Saccharomyces cerevisiae S288C: one gene and its partner. The protein of the gene in region 2 interacts with the protein of the main gene of each other region in a biochemical or structural test. Each region holds a gene or a part of one and is shown on either strand. Other genes may lie near its edges.

Region 1 (4,378 bases), on a different chromosome or scaffold from region 2:
AAGAATTCAAAAACAGTAGAAATGGTAAAGGCCAAAACGGTTCCCCTGAAAACGAGGAAGAGGACAAAACTTTATACTGCTTCTGTCAAAGAGTTTCGTTTGGAGAAATGGTTGCATGTGATGGACCCAACTGTAAATATGAATGGTTTCATTATGATTGTGTAAATTTAAAAGAACCTCCGAAAGGAACATGGTACTGTCCCGAATGTAAAATTGAGATGGAAAAAAACAAACTGAAAAGAAAACGTAACTGAACAAAAATACCTTTTTGAGACTGAATGACCTCATTTACACTAATAATATTCCATAAGCCAGAAACGGTGATTGCTATTCTGACAATGTGCTTTTCGAAAAGGAGAAGTAATTTCGAGACATCAGCTAGCAAGGACATATACGATTGACATTTTTGAATGTACTTTCAAATACTTGTGAATCAAACTAAGATATGATTCCTGCATATTCAGGTATATACTATATATTTTAATTTCATTAGCATATGTGTCATACGGTTTTTAAAACTTATGAGCAGGAAAAAGGTGTCACGTGATCAGATGGTCTTTTTTTCAAACTTTGACGTCGGAATTTTTTGTAGTGAAAAATTTTTCGAGATGAGGAAAGGAAGAAAAAATTAATTTGTTAGCCTTATAACGTGAGCACCTTTTCGATAGAGTATCTGATTGCTCTCTTCTACCAAAAGATCACCTGAGGATAATTTTTAACCAAAAGAAAATAATGAGTTTCAGAGGAGGTAATAGAGGTGGCCGTGGCGGCTTCCGTGGCGGCTTTCGTGGTGGACGTACAGGCAGTGCTAGATCATTTCAACAAGGACCACCAGACACTGTTCTAGAAATGGGAGCTTTTCTACATCCATGTGAGGGTGATATTGTTTGCCGTTCTATCAACACTAAGATTCCATATTTCAATGCGCCAATATATTTGGAAAACAAGACTCAAGTCGGTAAAGTTGACGAAATATTGGGTCCATTAAACGAAGTATTTTTCACTATCAAGTGTGGTGACGGTGTCCAAGCAACCAGTTTTAAAGAAGGTGATAAATTCTACATTGCCGCTGACAAACTATTGCCTATTGAAAGATTTTTACCTAAGCCTAAGGTGGTAGGCCCACCAAAACCAAAAAACAAGAAGAAGAGAAGTGGTGCCCCAGGTGGCCGTGGTGGTGCTTCAATGGGTCGCGGTGGTAGCAGAGGAGGTTTCAGAGGAGGCCGTGGTGGTAGTTCTTTCAGAGGAGGCCGTGGTGGCAGTTCTTTCAGAGGTGGATCTCGTGGCGGATCATTTAGAGGAGGATCTCGTGGCGGATCTCGTGGTGGTTTCAGAGGAGGTAGAAGATAATCTAGCTAGAAAAAAATAAAAAAAAAAACCATCCTTTATCTTTCACAATTCTTCATTTCTTCCAACTTACTATATCTGCCGAAGCACGTCTAACGTCGAAAAAAAAAAAAAGAAATTACCGTTTGTTCTGTATACTATATATATATATATTTGTTTGATTGATTTACCTGTAATAAATTGATTTAAAATGAAAAAAAGAGAAATTCAGTAATACCAGAAGCCGCCGTAGTTAAACAAACGACCACGGTTCTTACGGTTGTCTTAATATTATATCCATACAAAGTTTACGAATGGAACACTATAAATAAAACTTTTTCTTTTCTTTGTCCATCTCAGGTTTATGCTCCCATTCAGTTTCTTCCTTAATACCCCTTTGCAATCTTTTCAACTTGAGGGTAAATTGTGGACCCAGTTCTTGCAAACCAACCCTTTCATTATCTTTGAAGACATACCGATGCCTTCTGAAGAAAATGTAATCTCTTTGATTATGTAGGGTGATAACTTGTCGACCTTCAATATCAGGATTCTGAGGTAAAATGGACTGAAACAACCTACCTACTGTTTGACCCAATCTGGTCTGGAAATTATTTAGAATCAATTCTGGAATATGGCTAGTTGGTCTACCATGACCGACAATTTTCTTCACTTCAACAAATGATGATAATTTAAAATAAAAAGTTGGGCCCTCTGGCAGATGTATGAATGTTAGGCCAGTAACCTTTTTCTTGTCCTCGTTGATTATCACGATGTCAGTGAAATTCCTTTTTATACAAATATCAGATATTTCCTTCAATTTGTAGCCAAATTTTCTTTTCACAAATGTGACGTTTGGTAAAATTTCGATTAAAATGTTAGCAAATTCATAAGCGCTCTTCTTAGCGTTTACATTTGTGGTCAGAAAGATCTTTGGTGGCTCATTAGAATTGCTGTTGAAGTATCTCATCAAATCGTCTTCATCTCCCTCCACTTCCTTGTTAATGGTCTCATCGTACACTCTAGTGTTCTCTATCGTCTGTGTTACGTTCTCTTTTAATCTCTGCTCCCGCAGCTCCGGATTCTCTCTCTCTTCCTTAGCTCTCTTTCTTCTCATGGTATGGCGCTCTTTATTTTTTTCATGTTTTATATCAGCAAAAATTTCTTGCCTCTTTAGCTTGTTTGTGATGTTTATCTCATTACCGAGAGCCATTTTTTAGTATTTCAATATATTAAGCCTGCTTTACCTCTTCCTTAGGTGTTCAATCGTAAAGTATAGCTTATGGCATCGCATTTCTTTTTACATCTCATCGCTAAAAATTTTACTTTTCCTTTGTATAAATAATCATGTGTGACGAACGCGAAAATGAAAAATGCACTGAATTAAATGTATACAACGTTATATAGATCGTAAATATGTATATTGAAATATACACCTTTTTGTTCTTTCTACTACTGTAAAAGAAGAATGCATGCGTTATGACAGGGCAGCACGCCAATTTAACTTATTGCATATTTCAATGCAGGCTGTCCAGACAGAAGGAAAAGCTACTCAATTGTAGGCTTTGGTTCCGGCGTTACCCCCTTTGGTTTTGAGACTAGAGGTGGTAGAGTTTGGCTTACCATTTCTCAATATCAAATCGATAACTTCTTCGATCTTCTTGCCCTTACCGAACTCATTTTCCACTTGGGCCTTGGAGGCAGCGCCCAACTCACCCTCGGCACCCCTACCGTCCTGAGGAGTGAAAACTTCGAAGAGTTCGACAACTTCAGATAGCTTACCAATTGATGGATTTTTCAAATATTCGTCTACAAGCTCTTCGGATGCAGCGAAGACAATCAAATCTGTATTTTCACCCTTGTAAAAGTATTTGGTTACAGTAGACATGTTGATTTTATTTTGTGTATGCGATGGTTTTCTTATTTTTATCAGCTTGTTCAAAGTATGAATTTGTTGATAGCTGCTTTTTTATTAGTCAAGAATTGAGTTTAAAGAACATTGGCTTGTGATCATCATCGAAATTGATTCTCATCACTTAAATATCTTTTGCTCCCTGTTTCTGGCGATCCCTTCGACTAAATAAGGGGTCGTTGTTGTTACGTACGGCCCAACAGGGTAGTGCCTGCTCTAGCGTCGAAGTTAGAGGAAAAGAAGCTTAGAGAATAAAAACATTTACTAGTAGTAAGGGGTCTTATTGTCAGAAAGGGACAATTGCGTGGGCAGTATTTTCAAAGAGTGGCTTTCTTCTTCTGAACGGAGTTTCAACCTGCGCTTTCTTTTCCTCCTGCTAGGATTTATTTGTGAGAAAACGAAACTAGCTATAGAAACGCGTAGCACCGGCAGGCCGAAAACCGCTACTACGTAAAGGGGAATGAAAATGGGCCAAATTTGGTGTAAAGATATAGGAGAAGAGACACGGAGTAGGAATTCGCCGTGCCCCTATACAGAGACAACATGAATAGAGAGACAAACGCATTACGTAGTCTTGGAAGATAGCGCAACGGGAAATCTTGACACAGTAAGAAACATTTACAGTATAATAATACTAAAAATAAAATTAAGATACATCAATATAAAATTTTCGACAAATACAGAAAAGAACAGAGAAGAAAAAATGAAGGTGACGCAAAAAAGGAATTGACAGGCCGTAATGAGTAGTGATGGAAAGAAGGTAAATGGAAGTAATAAAGGAAAATCATAAACATGCTTAAAAGCGTACAATCTTGAATTGAATTAAGAATAACAATAACCTTGAAAGAAATGAAAATCAAAAGGAAAAACGCAACTATAACGATACAAAAAAGACTTAATAAAAGGACATGGAATCTTGAAAACGATAAAAAGCAATGAAAAAAAGAAAATAAAGCGCTGTTATATCACCGTCAGCCTAAGACCAAATACAATTTAACACTGAAGTAAAGAAAATACCAAGAAAGAAAAAGGGCCAAAAGGAAAACAAACATTTTTATATACACGTGTGGCTCAAGCAAACATAAAACCATTACTGCCTTGTTCCAAACGGTTTAACATTGCATTAGTGCTGTTAACAACCGC
Region 2 (7,573 bases):
TATCGTAGATTCAGTGGATACCTTGATGTTAATGTATAACTCCTCCACACTATACAAAAGTGAGTTCGAGGCAGAAATTCAGAGATCGGAGCATTGGATAAACGATGTTTTGGATTTTGATATTGATGCCGAAGTGAATGTTTTTGAAACTACTATTAGAATGCTAGGTGGTTTATTATCCGCATATCATCTATCTGATGTTTTAGAAGTAGGTAATAAGACTGTCTACTTGAACAAAGCAATAGATTTGGGGGATAGGCTTGCTTTGGCGTTCTTATCCACTCAGACCGGAATTCCATACTCAAGTATAAACCTTCATAGTGGCCAAGCGGTTAAGAACCATGCAGATGGGGGGGCATCTTCTACCGCAGAATTCACTACGCTACAAATGGAATTCAAATATCTGGCGTATTTGACAGGAAATCGTACTTATTGGGAGCTGGTGGAGCGTGTTTACGAGCCATTATACAAAAATAACGATCTTCTAAATACCTACGATGGATTGGTTCCAATTTATACATTTCCAGATACTGGGAAGTTTGGTGCTTCGACTATCCGGTTCGGATCAAGAGGTGATTCTTTTTATGAGTATTTACTAAAACAATATTTATTGACGCACGAAACACTTTATTATGATCTGTACAGAAAATCCATGGAAGGTATGAAAAAGCATTTATTAGCACAATCCAAACCCTCTTCTCTGTGGTACATTGGGGAAAGAGAACAAGGTCTACATGGACAACTTTCTCCTAAGATGGACCACCTCGTGTGCTTTATGGGGGGATTGTTAGCATCAGGCTCTACTGAGGGCCTTTCTATTCATGAAGCCCGAAGACGTCCGTTTTTCTCTCTTTCCCTTGAAAGAAAAAGTGACTGGGATTTGGCTAAAGGGATAACTGACACATGTTATCAAATGTACAAGCAGTCTTCCTCGGGGCTTGCGCCTGAAATCGTTGTCTTCAATGATGGAAACATAAAACAGGATGGTTGGTGGCGGTCGTCTGTGGGTGATTTTTTTGTTAAACCACTCGATAGGCACAACCTACAAAGACCAGAAACGGTGGAATCGATTATGTTCATGTATCATTTATCTCATGATCACAAATATCGTGAATGGGGGGCGGAAATCGCAACTAGCTTCTTTGAAAATACCTGTGTTGATTGTAATGACCCAAAATTAAGGCGGTTCACCAGTTTAAGTGATTGTATCACGTTACCTACAAAGAAATCTAACAATATGGAAAGTTTCTGGTTGGCAGAGACTTTAAAGTATTTATATATATTGTTTTTAGACGAGTTTGATTTGACCAAAGTTGTTTTCAACACAGAAGCTCATCCTTTTCCAGTATTAGACGAAGAAATATTAAAATCGCAGTCTCTGACCACAGGTTGGTCGTTGTAGGTTAGTGTGCTATATAGTGGCCAGATTCGCCTTTTAAAATTCACTATGCGGTGTGATGATGTGCTATACCATTTTTTCCATGTTTAGGAAAATGAAAAATTTGCAATGCTTACTTCAGCAAAAAAGTATATTTGAATCAATATTCATTTATATATTTCAGCATAATCAATCATTTTTCGTCTGGATATTTGACACAATTTTGATTTTGACGAAGACATTTTATTCTCGATGGATATTACAGAATTGTTACAGTGCTTTGCCTGTACTTTGGACCATAACGCTGCCGTAAGAACTAATGCAGAAACACATCTTAAAAATGCAAGTAAAGTACCGGGATTCTTAGGCGCATGCCTGGATATCATTGCTGCTGATGAAGTACCAGAAAACATCAAATTATCAGCTTCCTTATATTTCAAGAATAAGATTACATACGGATGGTCTGCTGGTGCAAGACAGGGTTCAAATGAATTATTAGATTCACATGTTGATCCGGATGAAAAACCAGTAGTAAAAGATATGTTAATTAAAACAATGGTCAGTGTGTCCAAGACCTCCCCGCGTTGTATCAGAGTGCTAAAATCTGCCCTTACTGTAATTATTTCAGAAGATTACCCTAGCAAAAAATGGGGCAATTTGTTACCAAATTCCTTAGAATTACTCGCAAATGAAGACATCACAGTAACATATGTCGGACTTCTGTGTCTTGCTGAGATTTTTAGGACCTATAGGTGGAAGAATAATGATGAAAGACAGGACTTAGAAGAGTTGATTTTAAATTATTTCCCTGCTTTATTAAACTATGGCGCAAATGTCCTTTTCCAAGATGGTAAATATATGAATAACGAGCAAATTGGCGAATTGGTAAAATTAATCATTAAAATTTATAAGTTCGTTTCATACCATGACCTACCATTTACATTACAACGCTCAGAATCGTTTACCCCATGGGCATGTTTTTTTGTCAGCATCATTCAGCAGCCATTGCCTCAGGAAGTTTTGGCTATATCAGATATTGAGGTCAGAAGTAAAAATCCATGGGTCAAATGTAAGAAATGGGCTCTTGCAAACCTTTATAGACTTTTCCAGAGATACGCATCAACGTCATTAACAAGGAAGTTTCAGTACGATGAGTTTAAACAGATGTACTGTGAAGAGTTTTTGACTCAGTTTTTGCAAGTCGTCTTCGATCAAATCGAGAAATGGGGAACTGGACAGTTGTGGTTAAGTGACGAATGCTTATACTACATATTGAACTTTGTTGAGCAGTGTGTTGTGCAGAAAACAACTTGGAAACTTGTTGGGCCCCACTACAATGTAATACTTCAACATGTCATTTTCCCACTACTAAAGCCCACTGCAGAGACTTTGGAGGCCTTTGACAATGACCCTCAAGAATATATCAACCGGAATATGGACTTTTGGGATGTCGGCTATTCCCCAGATCTTGCCGCACTGGCTTTGCTAACGACATGCGTGACGAAACGCGGTAAAACGACCTTACAACCGACCTTAGAATTTATGGTCTCAACCTTACAAAGTGCCGTTGGTGATTACAACAATATTATGTTGGATAATGCCTTGCAAATTGAGTCCTGTTTGAGAATATTCTCCAGCATTATTGACCGTTTGATAACTAAAGATTCTCCATTTGCCAGTGAGATGGAAAAGTTTATATTGACATACGTTTTACCTTTTTTTAAGTCTCAGTATGGGTTTCTGCAAAGTCGTGTTTGCGATATTTGTTCGAAGTTGGGTTCTATGGATTTCAAAGACCCGGTAATAACCTCTACTATCTACGAAGGTGTTATGAATTGTCTGAATAACTCTTCTAATTCTTTACCTGTAGAATTGACAGCTGCATTGGCATTGCAAACTTTTATCAGTGATGACCAGTTTAATATGAAGTTATCCGAACACGTTGTTCCTACTATGCAGAAATTACTAAGTTTGTCTAATGATTTTGAATCTGATGTCATTTCAGGCGTTATGCAAGATTTTGTGGAGCAGTTTGCTGAGCAATTACAACCTTTTGGTGTTGAATTAATGAACACTTTGGTCCAACAGTTTTTGAAATTAGCTATTGATCTGCATGAAACATCCAATTTGGATCCAGATTCCTTCACGAACGTTGATAGCATACCCGATGAATCTGACAAGCAAATGGCGGCGCTAGGTATTTTGTCGACTACGATATCTATTCTGTTGTCTTTTGAGAATTCACCTGAAATTTTAAAAAACTTGGAACAGTCATTTTATCCAGCTGCAGAGTTTATTTTGAAAAACGACATCGAAGATTTCTATCGCGAATGTTGCGAATTTGTAGAGAACTCTACATTCCTACTAAGAGATATCACACCCATCAGCTGGAAAATTTTGGAGCTGATTGGAGAATGTAATAGAAAACCAGATAGTATGGTATCTTATTATTTAAGTGATTTCATGCTAGCCTTAAATAATATCCTCATTTATGGAAGGAACGAATTAAAGAAGAACGAGTTTTACACAAAAATCATATTCGAAATATATCAAAAGGCTGTTACTGCAGAAGATAATTCGTTAGACGATCTTAGAGTGGTTTTTGATTTATCCCAAGAGTTGGTTCTTGCATTAGATGACAGTTTACCTCAACAATACAGAGAGCGCCTACTGGCGGATGTTGTCGGCTCTATTCTAACGCAAAAGAATGAATTGAAAACTAATGTTGTATTTAGTGTGACTGCTTTTAATGTCGTAATCTCAAATATGATAACAGAGCCTTTGATCACGCTTCAGTACCTGAAACAGCAAGGTTGTCTTGAAATCTTCTTTCAAACGTGGATTACAGACTATATTCCGAATTATAAAAGGTGCTATGATATCAAATTATCAGTTCTTGCGTTATTAAAAATTATACTGAAGTTAGAAAGCAACGATTATTCAGTGTTGAACTTAGAAAATTTGGTTCCGCAATTAGGGAGTATTGTTACGCAGTTAGCTTCGAGGCTACCAACGGCGTTAAGGCAATTAGCTAACCAACGCAAGGAATTCTCATCATCCGGTTTTGAAGAGGATACTAAGTGGGATGAAAATTTTCTTGACGTTGGAGACGATGATGAAAATGATGACGAGGGAGACCTTACTGAGAAATATCTGGAACTGATAAAAAATAGAGCCGATTCCTTGGACTTCGTAGATGGTTATGACGCAAAGGAAACTTTCGATGACCTAGAAGAGGACCCATTAACGGGGTCGATCCTGGACACAGTTGACGTATACAAGGTTTTCAAGGAGTCCATTGCGAACTTACAACATGTTGACAGCAATAGATATCAGGGAATCTTGAGACATCTGACCCCGGCTGATCAAGAACTATTCATGGGAATTATGAATGCCTAATTGAATTAAATGGCGATTGTATATTGAAACAAACACTGGATTACATAATTTAGATAGAAGAGAGAGGATATTATGCTCAAAGTTTGTTGCCTTTGCCTCGGCCAGTTGACTTTGATTTGATATCAAGATCTTTTTTTTTTATCTGGAGTCAATGCGATGAACCTAAAAAAATCACAAGCTTTTTTTATCTCTAAGCTGGGGAAAGAATCGTAGTTAAATCGGAAAGAAAAATATCTGAGTTTTGTCAGTCTTTCTTTTGCATAGCCCATCCTTGTACTAGATTTCATAAACATTGATCACTTCAAAATATACTTGTACCAAGATGGCCGAAAATGAGAGAATGTACATCTCCTATAATAATATTCACAAGCTTTGTCAGGGAGTGGCTAAACATATCTTAGCTAGAAACGAAAGACCTGATATTATTATCGCCATCACTGGTGGTGGTATGATCCCCGCAAGAATTATTAGGTCCTTTTTGAAAACTAAAGGACAAAAGAATATTCCGATTCAGGCCATCGGCCTATCTTTGTATGAAGATTTAGGGTTGGATAATAGCGTCGAAACTATCGGCAAAGAGGTCATCAGAACACAATGGCTGGACTTCGGTGCTTTGAACCAACATTTCGATTCCTTAATTGGTAAAAAGGTCCTAATTGTGGATGAAGTTGACGATACTAGAACTACCCTCCACTATGCTGTTTCTGAGCTGGAAAAAGAGATTGCTGAACAACAAAAGGTTTTGAATAGAATGAGTGAGGAAACCGTTATTTCTATCTTTGTTCTACATAATAAGGACAAACCAAAGAGAGCTGGACTACCTGACTCCATGATGAATTCTGGACGTTACATTGCTGCGCAAACTGTCCCTGATAAGTGGTTGTGCTATCCATGGGACGCTGAAGATATCGAAGAACATACCATGCTCGCTAAGGCTCAAGGTCATGACTGATGACAAACAGTATGTTGCGATGGGGTTGCATGTATATAGATACATATAGTTATCATTGGTAATTATTTCATATTTAACCTAAATCTAAAGATAAGAGTGTATTTCTAGTTATCTCATTTTTCCTTGCATTTCTACCATTTGTTGAACTTGTTGATGCATCATCTCTTTTAAATCGGACACATCATTTTCTAATTCCTCCACTTGTTCAGTCTTTTCACCTAATAGTTGTAAGGAGGTTTCCAATTTACTTTGCATCTGCTCAACTCTTTTTAAGAGATCATCTTTCTGTTTATTTACCTCATTGAATTTATCGTTTTCTTCCAGAAGTCTTAAAATCTCATCATTTGCTTTTGTCTTTTCTTTCAGTAAATTATCGTATAATTCCTTTGATGCTGATAATTCACCTTCCAATCTTTTTAACTCCGTACTTAACTTGTTCACCAGATGAGCGCTTATGTGGCCGTTAGAATTCGATAGCTGGACGCTAGCTCTTCTGTATGGTATTGATGTGTTGTTTAACGAGTTCATTGATTCCCCTTCCCTGATTGCTTGTAAAGCAGCGGCCTCTTCTGGAATATCGTCAATGCTGAAATCCACATTTTTTCTATCAAAATGTTGGCTTTCTTCGCTACATATGGTTTCGTGAGATTCATTGTAAATGGGTTTTAGAGACGGATCGCTTTCTAATTCGCCAAGTTTTGACATTGATAATGACAGCATAGAATTTTCTTGAGGTAAAGTCCATTCGTCTTCTATATTTCCCTCCATGGAGTTTAAACTATCTGTTAATTCTACAGGTATTTTATCTATAATTTTCTCATTGCTGTTTTCTTGATGTGGTTTTAGTTCGTTCTCTTTTTGTTCCAACTGAGACCTTTGAATTTCGTACTTCTTCTTCAGTAGATTATAATCATCACTTATACTTTGCAATGATGACTTCAATGTCTCCGCCCGTCTCTCCAAGTCTTTCACTTCCAAAACTGCCTTCGAATGATTCTCTTTTTCTTTTTCTAATTGCTTACCTAATGTTTCAGATGAACGTAAGGCAGTTTGATATTTTTCTTCAATATCATTTTTTTCTTTCATTGTAGATTCAAAGCGGTTTTCCAAGTTCACAATTTTAGTGTTCAAAGCGTATTCAATACTATCCCAGTTGGCCTTTGATGACTCAAGCTGTTCTTTGAGCCGATTGTATTGGAAAGATGCGTGTTGTTTTTCTTCATAACTTTGTTGGTCATCGACAAAATCTCTATTTGATTTAGCGTCTAAATTTTGAGTAGAGCTATCTAATTCTATTCTTAGTTGTTCTAGTTTAGTCTCTAGAGTGGTAACTTGATCAACTGTTGCTTCTTGTAGTGCTTTCTTTTCCGTTTGAAATTCACTTTTTTCTTTTTCAAGCAATGTTCTCATATTATCTAAAGATTGCTGTAAAATTGTTATCAAATCATCTTTTTCTTTTATATTTTTCTCTAATGTTTCAAGTGACTCTTTTTGTTTATCTGCATCCTTTAATTTATTTGTAGCTTCAGCCAGTTGTCCTTGTATGTTGTGATACAATGATTGCAGCTCATTATAGTTTTCGACACTCTGAGCAGAACTATCGTTTAGTTCAGATACCTCATACTCTAAGTCTTTCACTTTTGTTCTTAAAGCTTTGATTTGATTTGATTGCCTCAGCTCAGTTTCCGCTAATTTAGCTCCTTCTTTTCTCAACTGATCTATCAAGTCGTCCTTCTCTTTAATCAATTTGAAAAAACTAGAATCCGTGGTTTCGATTTGTGATTTTCTGTTTAGTTCGTTAGTTAGGTCATCAATCTGTTTGTTTAATCTTAAATATTCAGGAC

Evidence for each region. The genes of interacting proteins can lie anywhere in the genome.
Region 1: the proteins of NMD5 (region 2) and RPF1 form a complex in vitro, tested with the Saccharomyces cerevisiae proteins (one study listed by BioGRID).

Annotation. Positions count from the first base shown.
Region 1 is NC_001140.6:279,653-284,030, reverse strand, and holds RPF1 (rRNA-binding ribosome biosynthesis protein RPF1), read right to left. Parts: upstream 2,537-4,378; coding exon 1,649-2,536; downstream 1-1,648. Other genes in the region: histone acetyltransferase YNG2, read left to right, coding at 1-254; H/ACA snoRNP pseudouridylase subunit GAR1, read left to right, coding at 733-1,350; RTC3 (Rtc3p), read right to left, coding at 2,876-3,211; YHR086W-A (uncharacterized protein), read right to left, coding at 3,639-3,800; NAM8 (Nam8p), read right to left, coding at 4,307-4,378. UniProt on the Saccharomyces cerevisiae protein: Essential protein. Required for biogenesis of the 60S ribosomal subunit.
Region 2 is NC_001142.9:667,892-675,464, forward strand, and holds NMD5 (Nmd5p), read left to right. Parts: upstream 1-1,630; coding exon 1,631-4,777; downstream 4,778-7,573. Other genes in the region: MNS1 (mannosyl-oligosaccharide 1,2-alpha-mannosidase), read left to right, coding at 1-1,402; XPT1 (xanthine phosphoribosyltransferase), read left to right, coding at 5,100-5,729; SGM1 (Sgm1p), read right to left, coding at 5,838-7,573. UniProt on the Saccharomyces cerevisiae protein: Active in protein import into the nucleus. Its major import substrate is transcription elongation factor TFIIS.